Oreochromis niloticus: one gene and its partner. The protein of the gene in region 1 purifies or fractionates together with the protein of each later gene. This does not show direct contact. Links are inferred from orthologs where the notes say so. Each region holds a gene or a part of one and is shown in the gene's direction. Other genes may lie near its edges.

Region 1 (7,995 bases):
CGGAATTTCTATTCTCTGTATGTCCTGTACATATGGCAGAATTGACAAATAAAGTTGACTTTGACTTTGACTTTGACTTTGTATGCTTTGATGCCATATAGGCAATGTATTCATTGCTTTAAAGCAGAGAAGTTGTAACAACTATTCTGACTCTGTTTCAGGTGTGTTTGTGTGTGTGTGCATATAACATTTACCAGCTACACCCCTGCTGCGTAAAAAGAGGAGAGGTTAATTGGTATGAATGCACAGCAGGTGTGGCAGTACTTTACCTGGCAGTATACTGATGTGTGTTAGGAGTGGGTCTTTTGCAATATCACTTTAATTTTCACCAGTTCAGTTAAAAAGAAAGTAACTTTTGCATTTTAAAATTGTACTTAAATAAACTTGTTCTCTTTCTGTCTTTCACTTATCTCGTGGTTCTTCGTCTTCCTTCAGAATGCATTAAACCCTACCGCAGAAACTATGGGGAGACCTTTGAGCACAGCATCCCCGAAAATGGCTCCCTGTTGGAGTTCTCTCACCGGGGCGCTCCGCCTGAGGCTGTGCCGGTTGTGCTTTGGAACCGGACAGACCCCGAAACCGGTGACGCTGGCCGGGGGCGGCTACTAAGAGGGGGGAAGGTCTGGGTGGCGGAGAGAGTGACGCAAGCAGACCAAGGCAACTACACCATGAGAGACGACAACGGGAAGGTGCTGGGTCGCAGCACCCTCACCGTCCGTGGTGAGCAGAGCAGAAACATGTGGGTTTTAAGAAGCTGACTGACTACCTTTAACTTTGTGACTTTACAGTGCTAATGGTTTTGTCGTATCTTTCCCTTTCTATCTGATGCCCTCTCATACTTCCACATTCACCACTACTCCATTTTTCATGATTTTACACATGGATGGATGCAGGGCATTCCTTCAACATCACACGCTTTACCAAAGAGTCCATAATCCTGCCTCTATTTCTTCCTCTTCCTCATGCCCATCTCATTTTTACCCCTGGCCAATTTCCTGATGAATCCTCCCTGGGCCCCTTTGACCCCAAACCCCCGCGTGGCCCTGTGCAGCTCATCCGTGAGGGGCAGATAACGGACCATGACCTGCGCTACAGGGGTATCATCTCACTGAGTAGGAACGGCTCCATCTACGAGGTGGTCATTGCAAGGCTGACCTCAAGGCATGATGGGCTGTATGAAGTCAAAGACAGGAATGGCAACCTGGTATCCTCCACCTACTTGCACGTGATCGGTGGGTATTGTGCGATGTTTTTGGAAGCATGCATCAGTCAGAAGTTGTTTGATCCACAGTTGCCACTCCTCCTCCTAAAATGCTATCTGCTATCTTCCCAGACAAAAGGGGAGGGAGTTGGCGAGCACTCCTCAAGTCCGTCACTGTCCCTTCTGGCATGTTCGTGTCCCTGGCTGGTTTCATCCTGTTCATGAAACGCTACCCAAACTGTAGCCTCTCCCAGATCATCACCTGCTTTAGAACACACCGCACGCCGCCAGCCAACCCCCCGAGGGTCAACATCCAGGTGAGGAAACCAGGAAAAAACATCATACTGACTTCCTTTTACATATATATATATTTGGACAAGGAAATATTGTCTTTGAAGCCATTTGATCTTCTTGAAGCAGTTCCTGCAGATAAGGGTGCTATAGCTGAACAGAGTCACAGGAAAGTGAGCTTTTTCTGAAGAAGTCACTGCTCCAACCTCTAGCAGAAATGACAAATTTTCCACCCAGTGCAAGAAGTTAGAATCCACCCACAACAGTTCAATTTATATATTGTTTCCTACGCCATACTGCTGTACTCCATTTCTTCTCATCCAGCCATTTCTTGGTGGATTTATTAGGGTGATGCACTCTTCACCCTGATGAAACAGATGGCCTCACTCTTTGATATGAAGGAGAGTCTACAGCCAAATAAATAAATACAAGCCGTCAAGTCAATCATATTGCAGATGCATGCACTTTGACACCTCCATGAGTCACATGTTAACGTTATTGGACATTTCTCTTTTGCACCAGACAGTCTGATGGGCTGAAGTATCTTTAAGAAGTACGGAGAAAAAAAACTTATGGTAGAAGCTCTTTATTCAGTGGGTATGTTTTATTTCAGATACTTCGTAGATATTTTTATATATTCTGTCCAAAGTAATTTGACTGAAGCTCTGTAGATGTCAGCGTGATGATGCCACACACATCACTAGCAAGGAGCAACCTGATATCCCGGCGAAACGTTTAACAGACACACCGGTCCACGATGCCCATTTCACGCTTTGACTCTCCAAAACATGAAACGTGAAAGGAGAGCAGCAGACGGTTACATAAATAGGGCTAGCTGTTTCAGCCTTTCTTTTTAATCTCTATTTGAGCCTTGCCATGCCTTCATGCCATGGCGAGACATATGTCATCTGGCTGTCCCTCCGCAATCCACAAGAACCTTGGACACAGTGATCACTCAAGGTCACATTTATTGTTTTTACGAGCAGTAACCGGTGAATTGTGATGGTCTGTGAGCCGGATGAGTTCCTAGGTCATTATCGTTACTGGTTTATTTATGTTTGTGTGTTTTTCTTGCAGCACTACAGTCACCCCTCTCCTCAGCCCTCAGGCCACTACAGCTACTCTCAGCAGCCTGAAACAACAAGAAAATGGACCCCAAGAGCCAGTCCTGTTCACACTGTAAGACGGACTAACTAATATAATCTGTTTTGTTTTTTTTAAGGGAGCTAAAATCATTCAATTGAATTGTGTCTGTGTTCATATCTGTTGTTGTTTGTATTTCCAGGGTTATGCTCCGGTAATGGTAGGGTCTCCGAGAGCTGAGAACCAGGATGCCCACAGGGCGACAGCTGGGAGTTCTCCTAGTAATAACTTAACTGTTGAGGTAATACAGCTCTCCAGCTGTGAATATTTAGATGCCACGGATTAATACGATATTTGCTTAAACTTGTGTCTTCATCCCTTGTTAGGAGGCTAAATCTAATGAGGAAGAGGACAGGATTTCCTTCCCTGTGCCCGGAGCTTCAGACTGCCTCCACTCATCCGAGGACTGCGTTCAGTTCCAAATCAAAAAGGACGGAGATAAGGGAAGGGGGAACAAATCCCAAGACTTCTTTTCCACGCTGCCACTAGACACGGACACCTCTGAATCCTTCAGTGTTTACACGTCAAAGAATCTGAACTTTTCATAAAACAGAGAACTGGATCGGAGATAAGGGAAGAAGGATTATTCAGCATGGAGAAATCACACAAACGGTGAAGTTATGCTCCTGACAGAGAAGAAAAACCTTGCCTGTGCCTTATGCACGGTTTTAATAGTTTGCTTTGTAATTTTTCTGAAGCATGAGTTGAGCATAATCCTTCCTGTCTCATATTGCACTGCCTGATGGTGCTCCTGAAATCTCCTGCCGTTACCTACCTCCGGACCCTCAGGACCAATATGATCTGCACTGCTCCTGTGTTTAAGACGGTCTCTAGGGCTACCCACCAGTTGTTGTGGTAACGTTTGAAAAAGCTCATTTTTAAATACTGTACAGCAATATTGACTTAAGTTCTCACCCATCATGTTGTCCATATGTAATTATTATTCTAAATAGCTTGTCTGCATTTCTAACGATTTATGCAGTGTATTAAATCTTTGGGGGTAATTCTAGTTATAATAGTTATGTGACATGTTTCACCAAATACTGCAATTAATCTGTGAATTTTGTGTGCAGGATAACTTTTTATCCCCAAAGCTTGTAATATTTTCACAATGTCATAATGTCATCACTCAAAAAATAAAAAAAGTGTCTTTAACAAACACATTTTAGATGATGTCATCTTTACACTGTATGTATGTTCGCCACCCAGGGGTGTGTCCTTTTTGCTTTGCTCTTCTCCCTCCATGCAAGTGGCTGTTTCTCTAAAAACCTGTCAGTCAAAATTGTGATTTTTGATGACGGTCATTGGTCTTATCAAGGACACAGATGTGGGGTTGAACAGCTGGCCCTGTTGTGTAGTCAGATCAGCCTAGAGCTGAATACGCTCAAACTGTAGCAGTAACAGTGCAGTTGAGGAGGAGTCACTCTCCATTATCCCCGCTTGCCACAATGTTCCAAGATCTGAAGTGGTCACTCAGTATAGACACTATCATCAAAAAGGCCGAGCAGAGGCCTGCACCAGCTCAGGAAGTTCAACCTGCCTCAGGAGGTGTTGATCCATTCGACTCTGCATTAATCCAGTCTGTTCTCTGCTCACTCATCATGGTATTGTTTGCAGGACAAGAACAGACTACAATGGACAGTGAATTCTGCAGGAAATACAAATGTAGAGTCAGGGCACAATCAGGCAATATCACTGCATATCCTCTGGTAGGCGCTACAGAGCACTGTATGCCCAAACAAGCAGCCATCTGTACAGTTCCTTTCCACAGGCCATCACTCTGATAAACATTTAGGACACTCACATGGTCTCTGTATTTAAAAAATCCACCAAACCTGCTGCTGAATCAAAGCATGCAGTATATACTGTTTTGTCCTGTTGTACATACCTATATGCTATATATATATATTTATAGTCAATCCTCATGTGTATACTGTATATATAATAACTAGCTGTCCAGCTCTTATTTATTCCAACAGATTTGCACTCTGCAACTTTGCTCTATGAGTACGCTATAAATGTATTATTGTCTGTGCCGTGTTGGTGTCATGTTGTTTCTCTGTCTGTCTGTTGGCTACTCTGTTATGTACACTGAGTGCAAAAACTCCTTGTACCTGATCAATAAAGCAATAATCAATAAACTAACGATTGACCACTTTCCACCTATGCGTGTGTGTATACATATATATATATATGTGTGTGTGTGTGTGTGTATATATATATATATATATATATATATATATATATATATATATATATATATATATATAGATAGATAGATACACATATATTTAGGAAGCTGGAAAGTGGTCAAATGTTCTCCTCGGCGCAGTGACGGTAGGTGGCAGAGTTTGGGACATTGAAGCTAACTCAAAGCGTAGAAGAAGAGTGTTCGTTGTAGCGGCAATGAAAGGACAGCGTGCTACTTCCAAACAGAAGTAAAGTCTACCTTAGCTGCAACAACTTTAAAGTACAGCGCGAGCATAAATCACATTTAACACGAGACTTTTAGGACTCCGCCTGGAACATGGCTTTGGTTTGTGCAAGTAGGTGAAGCTGAATTCATTGATATGACGGAGGCCGGTTAGCTCGGTACCGCGCTAATGCTGCTAGCTGATTTAGCTAGCGTTAGCGGCCATGCAGTACCGCCTTCTGCTTTGATATAGTTCATCGATCTCTCTTTTTTAATTGTGTGTGTTTTTTTTAAATTGCTGGGAGTTATGTGTTGTTAAAAAAGCCGGAACTGAACTCTATTACAGTTTCCAACGAAGTGCCAGAGCACCCGTGCGTCTCTCCGGTGTCCAACCAGGTGTTTGAGCGCAGGCTGATCGAGAAGTACATCGCAGAGAATGGGACGGACCCGATGAACGGACAGCCGCTGTCCGAGGAGCAGCTCGTAGACATCAAAGGTGGGTTTCTGGGTGTTTTCTAAGAGGCAGTAGACCTTAATAAAGTTCATGCAGAGTAATGCTACTTCCGTCAGAGAGGTCGTTATCAGTGGAATGATGCTCGGCTTTGGTTTCGTAGGCTGAAGTTTGCAGACGTGTTGCATTGTATTGTATCTTATGAATCATATAAAACAAATCCTGAAGAATTCAGGTGAAGCGAAAAATAAAACCTCCCAAACAAATAAACTTTTTTTAAAAGAACTTACACAAAAGTAGAATATTATATTCATCATCAAAAACCGATTTATCTCATTTGCTGTTTGTTAAATAAGTTTTAGTTTTAATCGTGTGGCCTTCAAGGGTGAGACTTTGTGAAGTTGGATAGGTGCTCATGAGCTATTCTTTGTGATATTCATAGAACCATAGGAAATGATCTAGATTTATATATGAAAAGAAAATCAGTGTGGCATATGCCCTTAAATACTCAAATCTCATTGCAAATAAGCCTCGATGAATTACTGAAGAGGTTTCCTGTCTTTTAGTGGCTCATCCTATTAGACCAAAGGCACCATCGGCAACCAGTATTCCTGCCATTCTCAAGTCCCTTCAAGATGAATGGGTAAGTCCTGTAAACTCTGAGATAGCAAAGAACAGAGCACTTTATACTGTATCTATTGTATGTATCATTTTGTTTTTAAATTGATTTTTCTTATTAATGTTTAACACTACATCAACAACACATTACAAATACACACAACATTTAGGAACATTTTAAACAAGTAGGGAGTCAGCTACTAATCAACATAAATTAGTTATAAATGTGTAGAACTCAAATCAGATCTGTAGGGTGTTGGATAGTTTAACAATTAAAAGTGTGTTACAGGCAACCATTTATCCCTCTCCAGTAGTTTTTAACAACAGGACTCTTGTTTTGAATTTTTGTTTTTTGTTTGTTTGTTTTTTCTAATTGTGCATTTATATGATGGGTTACAACAGCATATTTTTGATCTAATCTGTGCTGCAAAAAAAGAATCTAATAGAAGATTGGCCCCTTTTCTTTCTTGAATTGCAAAGTTTTGTGACAAACCTTGGGTCTTTTGAATTAGTTTGAATTCATGAAAAATGTTTGTTTGGTACATTCATTTAAATAACTTTAATTCTTTAGCTGAGACCAAAAAAGCGAGTTCCATCTTGTTATCTTCCTTATTTAATTTAAACACATGGGTGTAAAGTTATATTCCAGTGAGTTTAATAAATTTTCTTAAGATATATTTCAAACAAACCAGTATATGGTGGGATTTTTTGTTTTTGTTTTTGTTTTTTAAATCTTGACTGCAAAATGCTGGTAGAACCAAAGTAATTAAAACATGTCAATTTGTGTCTGTTTGTGCTCCTTTCTCACTTTTCATTTCTGTTCTAGGATGCTGTAATGCTTCATAGCTTCACCTTGCGGCAGCAGCTGCAGACTACTCGCCAAGAACTTTCACACGCCCTCTATCAGCACGATGCCGCCTGCAGAGTCATCGCTCGACTCACCAAAGAGGTCACAGCTGCAAGAGAAGGTGGGTTGACAGCAGTTTGGGTGTCCGCACAGTTATGAAACGTGTAGAAATGGCTTTAATGTGATCATCGGGTCCAAATGAACCTGGATTCATTGATATTGTGTGTGTATTTTATTTATTTTAATGAGTCGATTTCTTCTTTCCACAGCTCTTGCTACGCTCAAACCCCAGGCCGGATTGGTTGCCCCTCAGGCAGTGCCCGCCTCTCAGCCAGCTGCAGCAGTGAGTAGCTGGGCTTTAGTTTCAGCTGATAAGACAACGATCAGACTGTCACATCATGCCTTTAAAAAATATTTAATTCTGCCTTTTTTTTACACCAGGGTGCTGGTGGAGAGCCTATGGAGATTAGTGAACAAGTGGGAATGACTCCAGAAATCATCCAGAAGGTAATATTGATATATTTTTTTTGATTGATTACTTTTTTACCATTATGACCGTTTGTAATAATTTCTTTGGTTATAAAGTGCTTTTCTTGAGCTTGATGTTTTTAAATGTTTTTTTTCTATTTGCAGCTCCAAGACAAGGCTACTATCCTCACTACAGAGAGAAAGAAGGTATTAAATTTCTCTTTTATTTAGCTGCTAATGTGCAAACACTTGTTTTACTTATTTTGCCACAAGCTCTGTTTGTGCATAATTTACCCTCGCTCTCATTTAATTGCTTTACTGTGGTTCTCTACAGAGAGGCAAAACTGTCCCAGAGGATCTGGTTAGAGCCGAGGATCTCGGCAAATACCGCCAAGTGGCCTCTCATGCTGTAAGTATTGATTATGCAGGATCACGAGGATGCATCTGTTTCACCGAGCAATCCAATTTATCACCGTTCTCTCCTATGTTGCCTTCAGGGTCTTCATAGTGCCAGTGTGCCTGGTATTCTGTCTCTGGATCTGTGTCCCTCAGACACCAACAAA
Region 2 (7,217 bases), on another chromosome or scaffold:
AATAAGAGAGCCACCAAAAGTGGTCTTTACTATGTAAAACCAAGAAACAGAGCAGTTCCTGACCTATTGTGAGATTGACGTCCACAGTAATACAAAGGGAATACATCACCTTAACCACACATCAAAATGGATCGCCTGTCGCTGGAGCCTGTCCCAGGTGTAAAATCATTTGTTTTCTAATCTTCGATAATAATTTTTCATAAATTCCCTCTGTCGTCAATTTTAGATCAAAAATCTTTTAGGATTTAACAAATGCTTTTTGTCTCTGATCACTGCCTACAGAGACGTGATGGCAGTCTGGACTTCCACAAGAACTGGGTCCAGTACAAGCAGGGCTTCGGTTATCTCTCACCACAGAATTCTGGTTAAGCAATGAGAGGGTTTACCTGTTCACTACTAGCTCTAACGTCCCAATTGTGCTCAGGATAGAGCTTGTTGACTGGGAGGGCAACAAAAGGTACACACACACACACACGATAACAGATTATGTAAGAATGCACTTATGGACAAGGCAAACATGTCCGCTCTAGTAGCGAGGTTACCTTAGAGGAAGAAAAAAAATGACTCAACAGTTGTTACCAAAACCTAACTTTAGATCCATGATTCTGTGACAGAGACAAAAGTACTAATTAATGTGAGGTCTAAACTGTTTGCATTATCTTTATGCAGGTGGCAGGTACACTGAAAAGGATGCTGGTGAATTTGGCTTCGACAACGGCATCATTTGGGTCACGTGGCACAACCGCTGGTACTCCCTGAAAGAGACCACCATGAAGCTCATTCCCCTCAGTCGCATCACAGCAGGAGGACAGCAGGCTGGAGTCAAACAGTTTGGTGGACTTGGAGACGCTTAAAAGAGACAATTTTTTTTAATGCTCTCACTAATAGCTCTGAAAAATGCCATCATGGAAAAGTTTCTATTTTTTTGTTTTTGTATTTTTCTGTTTGCAGAATACCTGAGTCCCTTTTTCCTCATTTCCTTGCTACACTCTCAATTCTAAAAAAAGAAAAAAAGCAATAGTGTGCAAATCTCATATACCTATAAGATTTTCACAGCAGAGCATAGAAAACATATCAAATCTTGAAAATGACACATTGTATACCTTCAATGAATCACTAGCTTATTGTGGTGGAGGGGTTTGTGTATCCCAGGAATCCCAGGGGCTATGTTATTGGTGGGCTTTTGCCCCCTGCTATGATCTCCCATGTCAAATCTGTCCTGGGTGAAGGATCTGACAAAGACCTATTCAAAAACCCCTATGAAAAGATGATCCAGGGAGCAGTTCACCCTGCCTGATATAGGGTTACTGGGGCCCTGCTCTGGAGCCAGGCCCAGGGAGGATGACCGAGGCCGAACACCTGGTGGCCGGGCTTTAGTGCATGGGGCCTGGCTGAGCACAGCCCAAAAAAGGGGCGTGGGCCCACCCTCCTGTAGGCCCACCACCCTCAGGATTTGTCATAGGGGTCGGTGCAGTGTGTGCTGGGCTGCGCTCAGGGGCAGAGACCCTGGCAGACCGATCACGGACTACCAAGACTAGCGACTGGGGCATGGAACATCACCTCTGTGGTGGGGAAGGAGCCTGAGCTAGTGCATAAGGTCGAGAGGTCGAGAGTCCACATCTTGGACTCTAGAACGAGTTTCCTGGAGAGGGGGTGGAGTTTTCCAACATAGATGGCAGGGTTTGTTCGGGTCAGGAAACAGGTCCTGAGTGTCAGTCCAGAGTACCCAGTTTCTTTGATTACCTGGGTGGGGTGCTTGAGGGGGACCACTTGAGTCCCCCACCTGGTGACTCTGTCGTCTTACTGGGAAACTTTATCACTCATGTGGGCAACAACAGTGAGACCTGGAGGGGTATGACTGGGCCAGATCTGAACCCAAGTGGTGTTTTGTTACTGGACTTGTTACTGGTGCAAACCACAGTTTGTCCATAACAAGCACCATCTTCAAACATAAGGGTGGCCATAATGTAACTAGATTACTCTCCAGTTACAGTAACTCAGAGTTGTTGTACCAGATTCTGAATGTAGCAGCTTAGTAAAGATATTCTTGAAACCATCAATGGCCCCTGACTTTTGTTTTATTAACTGATTATAATAATTTGCTTTGGATAATCAGTCTTTTAGTCATTTTATTACAGTTTTCACATCAAAATCTCAAGACTGCTCATTATGACTTTTAGATTTTAGTTTGCAGCAATTTTGACTTTTAATAAATATGATCTTCTTTTCCTGTGGTCGCCCAGATAAACTATCTTTTAAAAAAAATGTCTAACTGAACAAACTGTGACGTTAAATCTTTGAGGACAGAAAACCATTTTGTCACATTGTTGCAGAGCTTTCAGAGCATCTCAGTTGAATTGTTTATTTTGAGCCACACTAACACAGTTTATTTACTTTGCATTGAACTTGTAGTACTTGTCCCCGTGCATCATCAGACTCACATCGATAATCTCTGTCAGAGTCCAAATTCTGCCCAGCTCTTGGCGTGTGATTTTGCCGAACAATGCGTGGATTTCTAAAGCTTCTTAACAGGATAGCATTATGTTAGTACACCCACTGACTCTTTCAAAAGCCAGTTTGTTTGTTTGTTTTAATTAAATTGGCCTCAGACATTTTTGAAAAACACTGATATAAATTTACTCTGCCACAATAACGCAACACACACACACACACTGCACCATTTAGGTTCAAATTCGAAATGGATAACCATTAATAGATGTACTCTGCTGGGCAAACATGATCTGGTACAGAAGGAAGCAAAACCAAATTTGGGCCTGTCCTCCCACCAAATCTCAAACACCAAATCAGGAAATCAGGAAACAGATGAAGAAAAGTGTTGTTGAAATATACATGCAGCCCTGATCTCAGTAATCTTTATGATTGTGTGGCATAGAACCAATGTTGCTTTATTTAAATGTGGATTTGTTCAGGCTCTTACACTGAGGATGTCATTAGGGACAGTGAAAACAGGTCCAGCGAAAACAGGTCCAGCTTACACATTCCGAGTGAAAGCTGGAGAAATGTCACTTTGACTCCATAAGAAACAGCTCACTGCTAACTAGGCGAGGACTAGAGCATTAAACACAATAATAATTTGGTGGCCATTGCCATCCATTAAAATAGGACCCTCTGGGAATCACCAAGACCTGGTATATTATGAGCTACTATTCACCAGCTAGAGGTTAGTTAGTCCAGAAATAAGCAGTTAAGGTGATCAGGAGAAAACAGACAGAACCATTTGTCCAGTTCAGAGTCACACAGCCTGTTCTATGGGGCAAGAGGCAGTACACACTGAACAGACAGACATTCTTGAAATTTAGAATCACTGTTAAATCCATGCTTCTTTTTTCTTTTTTCTTCTGGACTGTGAAAGGAAACGGCTGGACACAGGTGGATTTAATCGTTGGATCTTCTGGCTGTAAAGCAACAATGTTAATCACACCACAGTGCTGCTCCAGAACAAGCAACTATTAATGATAAACTTTAAAAAAAAAAAAAAAAAAAAAAAGGCCTGCATTTGTATAGCGCTTTACTTAGCCCTAAGGACCCCAAAGCGCTTTACACTACATTCAGTCATTCACCCATTCACACCCACATTCACACACTGGTGATGGCAAGCTACATTGTAGCCACAGCTGCCCTGGGGCGCACTGACAGAGGCGAGGCTGCCGGACACTGGCGCCACCGGGCCCTCTGACCACCACCAATAGGCAAACATGGGGTTAGTAGCTTGCCCAAGGATATTTGGCATGCAGCCGGGAGGCAGCCTGGGATCGAACCACCGACCTTCCGATTGGTGGCGGACCTGTTTTTGGTGTTGGACCTTGTTTTTGCAGTAAGTGCAAAAGCAAAAAAAAATGTGGCAAAAGCACTGGAAATAGTGCCACAGAGGGCATTATTTCTAAAATTAGCAGGAGTGGTAAGAAAGAAAGGAACGGCAAAGCGCAGACTGAACTGATTAAAGCAACTTGGAGAGCACTAATTATTAGTAGTAGTAATAGTAGTAGTATTAGTGTCAAGAAAAGAAGGAGATACTGTGTCCTCGCTTTATGCATTTATAAAGCGATTCGGACGAGTAGAGGTTAAAGATTTGGCTTTTTAAAATTGTATTTCAATTTCCCTCCTGGCCTATAGGTGGCGCTAACAAACTGCTAGCTGTCCTTTTACCTCTTTACTTCCGGGGTATTCGGTCGTTGGAGCGTCGCGGTAGTCATGTTTTTGCGTTCGTGATACTTTTTGGGGAACGTGCTTTGTTTTGCTGAAAAAAGGGATATTTTTCCGCTTCTTTATAACATTACTTTATTTTTACCGCCACAATGACTGAGGTAAGAAGATATTTAAAGTCCGTTTTGGGTTTTTTTTTGTGTTTCCGCCCGCCCGGCAGACACATAGCCCCGCTCGGCTAATTGCTGCAACCACATACGCTTATGGTTTTGTTTGCATTGCTCATAGTAAAAAGTAGTTACTCCCAACGTTTTCCGTGGTTGCACTAGTTTAAAACACGTGTTTTCTTATTTATTATCATCTACAGGATGTTCAGAAGCACTCAGTCCACACTCTGGTCTTCAGATCTCTTAAAAGGACTCATGATATGTTTGTGTCTGATCACGCCAAGTCCATCGCGCTGGATGATGAAAGGTAAAGGCACAGTGTTACCTTCTAATGATTTGAAGTTGTGCTTATGGGTGAATTACAGGGTTTTCAGAGTCTAATGTTAATTTAGTTCAGGTGAACTGCAGCACAGTGTAGTCCAGTACAGAGAAGAGCAGTGAAAACGTCTCAGTTTTAATAAGCATCTCACAAATCTGCAGGTTATTGGATTTTCTTTTTAATTTTTTTTTACGTTTAGCCTTTTGTGGACCTTCAAAAAATATTTTCCTATAATTTAAGACTAGTTACCACTTTCTCAGGTTCACATTGCAAGCTCTAATGCCGTGTGAAATTGTTGTAGAGGTTTTAATTTAATCATTTTGCACTAGCGCTTTGTATTAGTGTTGCTCGCTAGACCAGATAAATGAGGAGGGCTGGAGAGATTGGCAATGACAAAAAAACAGGGGATGGAGGTGGTGATGGCAGAGCAGAAGAGGTTAAGCTTTTCATTGGGCGTGACTGGGGTGGATAAAAATGAGTATATTACAGGGAGAGCTCAGGTCGAGTACTTTGAAGACAGTCTAGAGTTAGAGAAACAAAGCTGAGATAGTTTGGACATGTGCAAAGGAGGGTTTGGACAAAGGATGTTTAAGATTGAGCTGCCAAACAGGAGAGAAAGACGAAGGAGGACATACAGAGAGTTTCACACAGGACGATGTTCGTAATAAGGTGAGAGGGAGGCAGATGTTCTGCTGTTGTGACCCCTAAAGGGAGCAGTCAAAAAAAAGAAGCATTTGTAGCTGCAGCACTAAAGAGCATTAATTTTTTTCAGGAGTTTATTTTCAGTTTACCAAAATGTCTATTGTCTAGGAAGTTAAAGCGCTATCAATTTCCTCCTCGAAGAAAGAAAAATCTCTGCTGCTACACCCCAGACAGTAAATTAGATCTACTTTCAAATACTAGTAAAAAGTTCAAGGTATTTACTGTGTTGTTCATGTGAATATCATTATGCTCATTTGATTATAAATATTAGATGTTTATAAAGGAAAATGCATCATTATGTCATCTGTTTGCAGCCACAAGTTGAAGATGGGGGTTAAACTGAAAGCAGACTACGATGCAGTGTTACACCTGCCCATCCTGAAGGAAGGGAAAGACAGAGCCTCACATCTTTCGGGCAGCATGGAAGGCCACCAGAACTACGCTCAGCCAGGTGAGGATGAAAGTGTCACTGCATGTCAGAGTCACTCTTAAGTGTGCCAACAATTTATTATTAACAAATATGTGGAAATGTAGATTTTTATTAGTTATTTTTTGCTGTTAAAAAGCTCAGTTTGTCTTTAAATTTAGCTTTTCTTTGTTTTCTGAAACCTTTTATTTCAAAACTACATGATTTAAAGACATTTTGGGAATATTACGTTTCAGGTGAGGACCCAGAATACCTGATCACTGGGACACATGCCTACCCATCTGGACCAGGTAAATACTCTCAATTTGTGACTTTTTAATTTCATCATCCCAATTGGAGTCTTTATAACCAGTATTTTTTACTCACCAGGGGTGGCATTGACCGCTGACACAAAGATGCACAGGAATCCCAGTGACACTGGAGTACACTCCATGGCGTTAGTTTTACCCCCATCGCAAGCTAGGTAAACTTTGTCCCTCACACACACACACAGTACAAAGGGAGTCAGTCACCAGTAGCAATTTAGCAAAAAAGCACTAATAACAAAATGATGCTTACTCACACATAAACCATCATTTACTCTGTGGGTCATTTGTAGGCAGGACGCGAGTCGCACAGCAGCCAGTATTGCTGACATCCACCGGCATGCAGGAGGAGCAGAGCGATCTCACCCTCCGTCATCTGCAGTGGTAGGTCACAGTTTATTCGTACTTTTACTCAGGCTAATCGGTTTGAATGAAAGAAGTGCAGATCTGATCATCAGTGTGTTTTCAGTCGCTCCTGGAGGGAGGTGGCACCAGAAATTCTGCTCTCATGAGGAGAGCGCCCACAATGCCCAAACCTCAGTGGCATCCACCATGGAAACTGTTTCGGGTAACTAGCAATCATTTCAACTTTTCTAAGTTTACTCGACATGATGCGCATACAGTGGGCGCGGTCTGGGTGGGATATGTTCTGTGTTTGTTTAACTGTAGTTTGTTTTGTCTGGTAGGTCATCAGCGGTCACCTTGGCTGGGTGAGGTCCATCGCTGTAGAGCCTGGGAATCAGTGGTTTGTCACAGGCTCTGCTGATAGGACTATAAAGGTGAGTCAAGCGGGAAATAACAGTAAGCGACAAACTAAAAATGGCTCATCTGACATGGAGTCACCTCGGTTTGGTTACATGATGACAGCAAAGACTGACATGTTGAAACAGGACACAACATGTGTTGTGTCCTCCTCTTTCTCCCCTGCTAAATTAGCTCTCCTCCGAGTCACCTCTCCTCGAGATCGTTACCTGTGTTTATTTAATAGATTGTGTTTTCTGTAGGTTCAGACATGCCAAAGTGCCTGCTAGCAACTTTAATACCCTGCTCTTCACAGATGATTAAGTTATACTGAATGCCCAATTTTTACCTATTAAACTGTTTGTAAATTAATCTCAGATTATCTTAATTTG

Evidence for each region. The genes of interacting proteins can lie anywhere in the genome.
Region 2: the proteins of prpf19 (region 1) and plrg1 purify together in Homo sapiens (affinity purification with mass spectrometry; 8 studies listed by BioGRID and IntAct, counting the BioPlex papers as one, with this or other methods). This does not show direct contact. The link is inferred for Oreochromis niloticus from reciprocal best matches to the Homo sapiens genes PRPF19 and PLRG1.

Annotation. Positions count from the first base shown.
Region 1 is NC_031966.2:24,428,243-24,436,237, reverse strand, and holds the start of prpf19 (pre-mRNA-processing factor 19), read left to right. Parts: upstream 1-4,980; 5' UTR 4,981-5,162; coding exon 5,163-5,181; intron 5,182-5,394; coding exon 5,395-5,544; intron 5,545-6,065; coding exon 6,066-6,142; intron 6,143-6,943; coding exon 6,944-7,085; intron 7,086-7,233; coding exon 7,234-7,307; intron 7,308-7,405; coding exon 7,406-7,471; intron 7,472-7,597; coding exon 7,598-7,639; intron 7,640-7,766; coding exon 7,767-7,841; intron 7,842-7,929; coding exon 7,930-7,995. Other genes in the region: uncharacterized protein LOC102080103, read left to right, coding at 436-720, 894-1,232, 1,334-1,518, 2,570-2,671, 2,778-2,876, 2,962-3,183. UniProt on the Homo sapiens protein: Ubiquitin-protein ligase which is a core component of several complexes mainly involved pre-mRNA splicing and DNA repair. Required for pre-mRNA splicing as component of the spliceosome.
Region 2 is NC_031971.2:14,044,199-14,051,415, reverse strand, and holds the start of plrg1 (pleiotropic regulator 1), read left to right. Parts: upstream 1-4,165; 5' UTR 4,166-4,316; coding exon 4,317-4,325; intron 4,326-4,531; coding exon 4,532-4,638; intron 4,639-5,666; coding exon 5,667-5,803; intron 5,804-6,015; coding exon 6,016-6,069; intron 6,070-6,148; coding exon 6,149-6,242; intron 6,243-6,377; coding exon 6,378-6,468; intron 6,469-6,553; coding exon 6,554-6,652; intron 6,653-6,770; coding exon 6,771-6,863; intron 6,864-7,217. UniProt on the Homo sapiens protein: Involved in pre-mRNA splicing as component of the spliceosome. Component of the PRP19-CDC5L complex that forms an integral part of the spliceosome and is required for activating pre-mRNA splicing.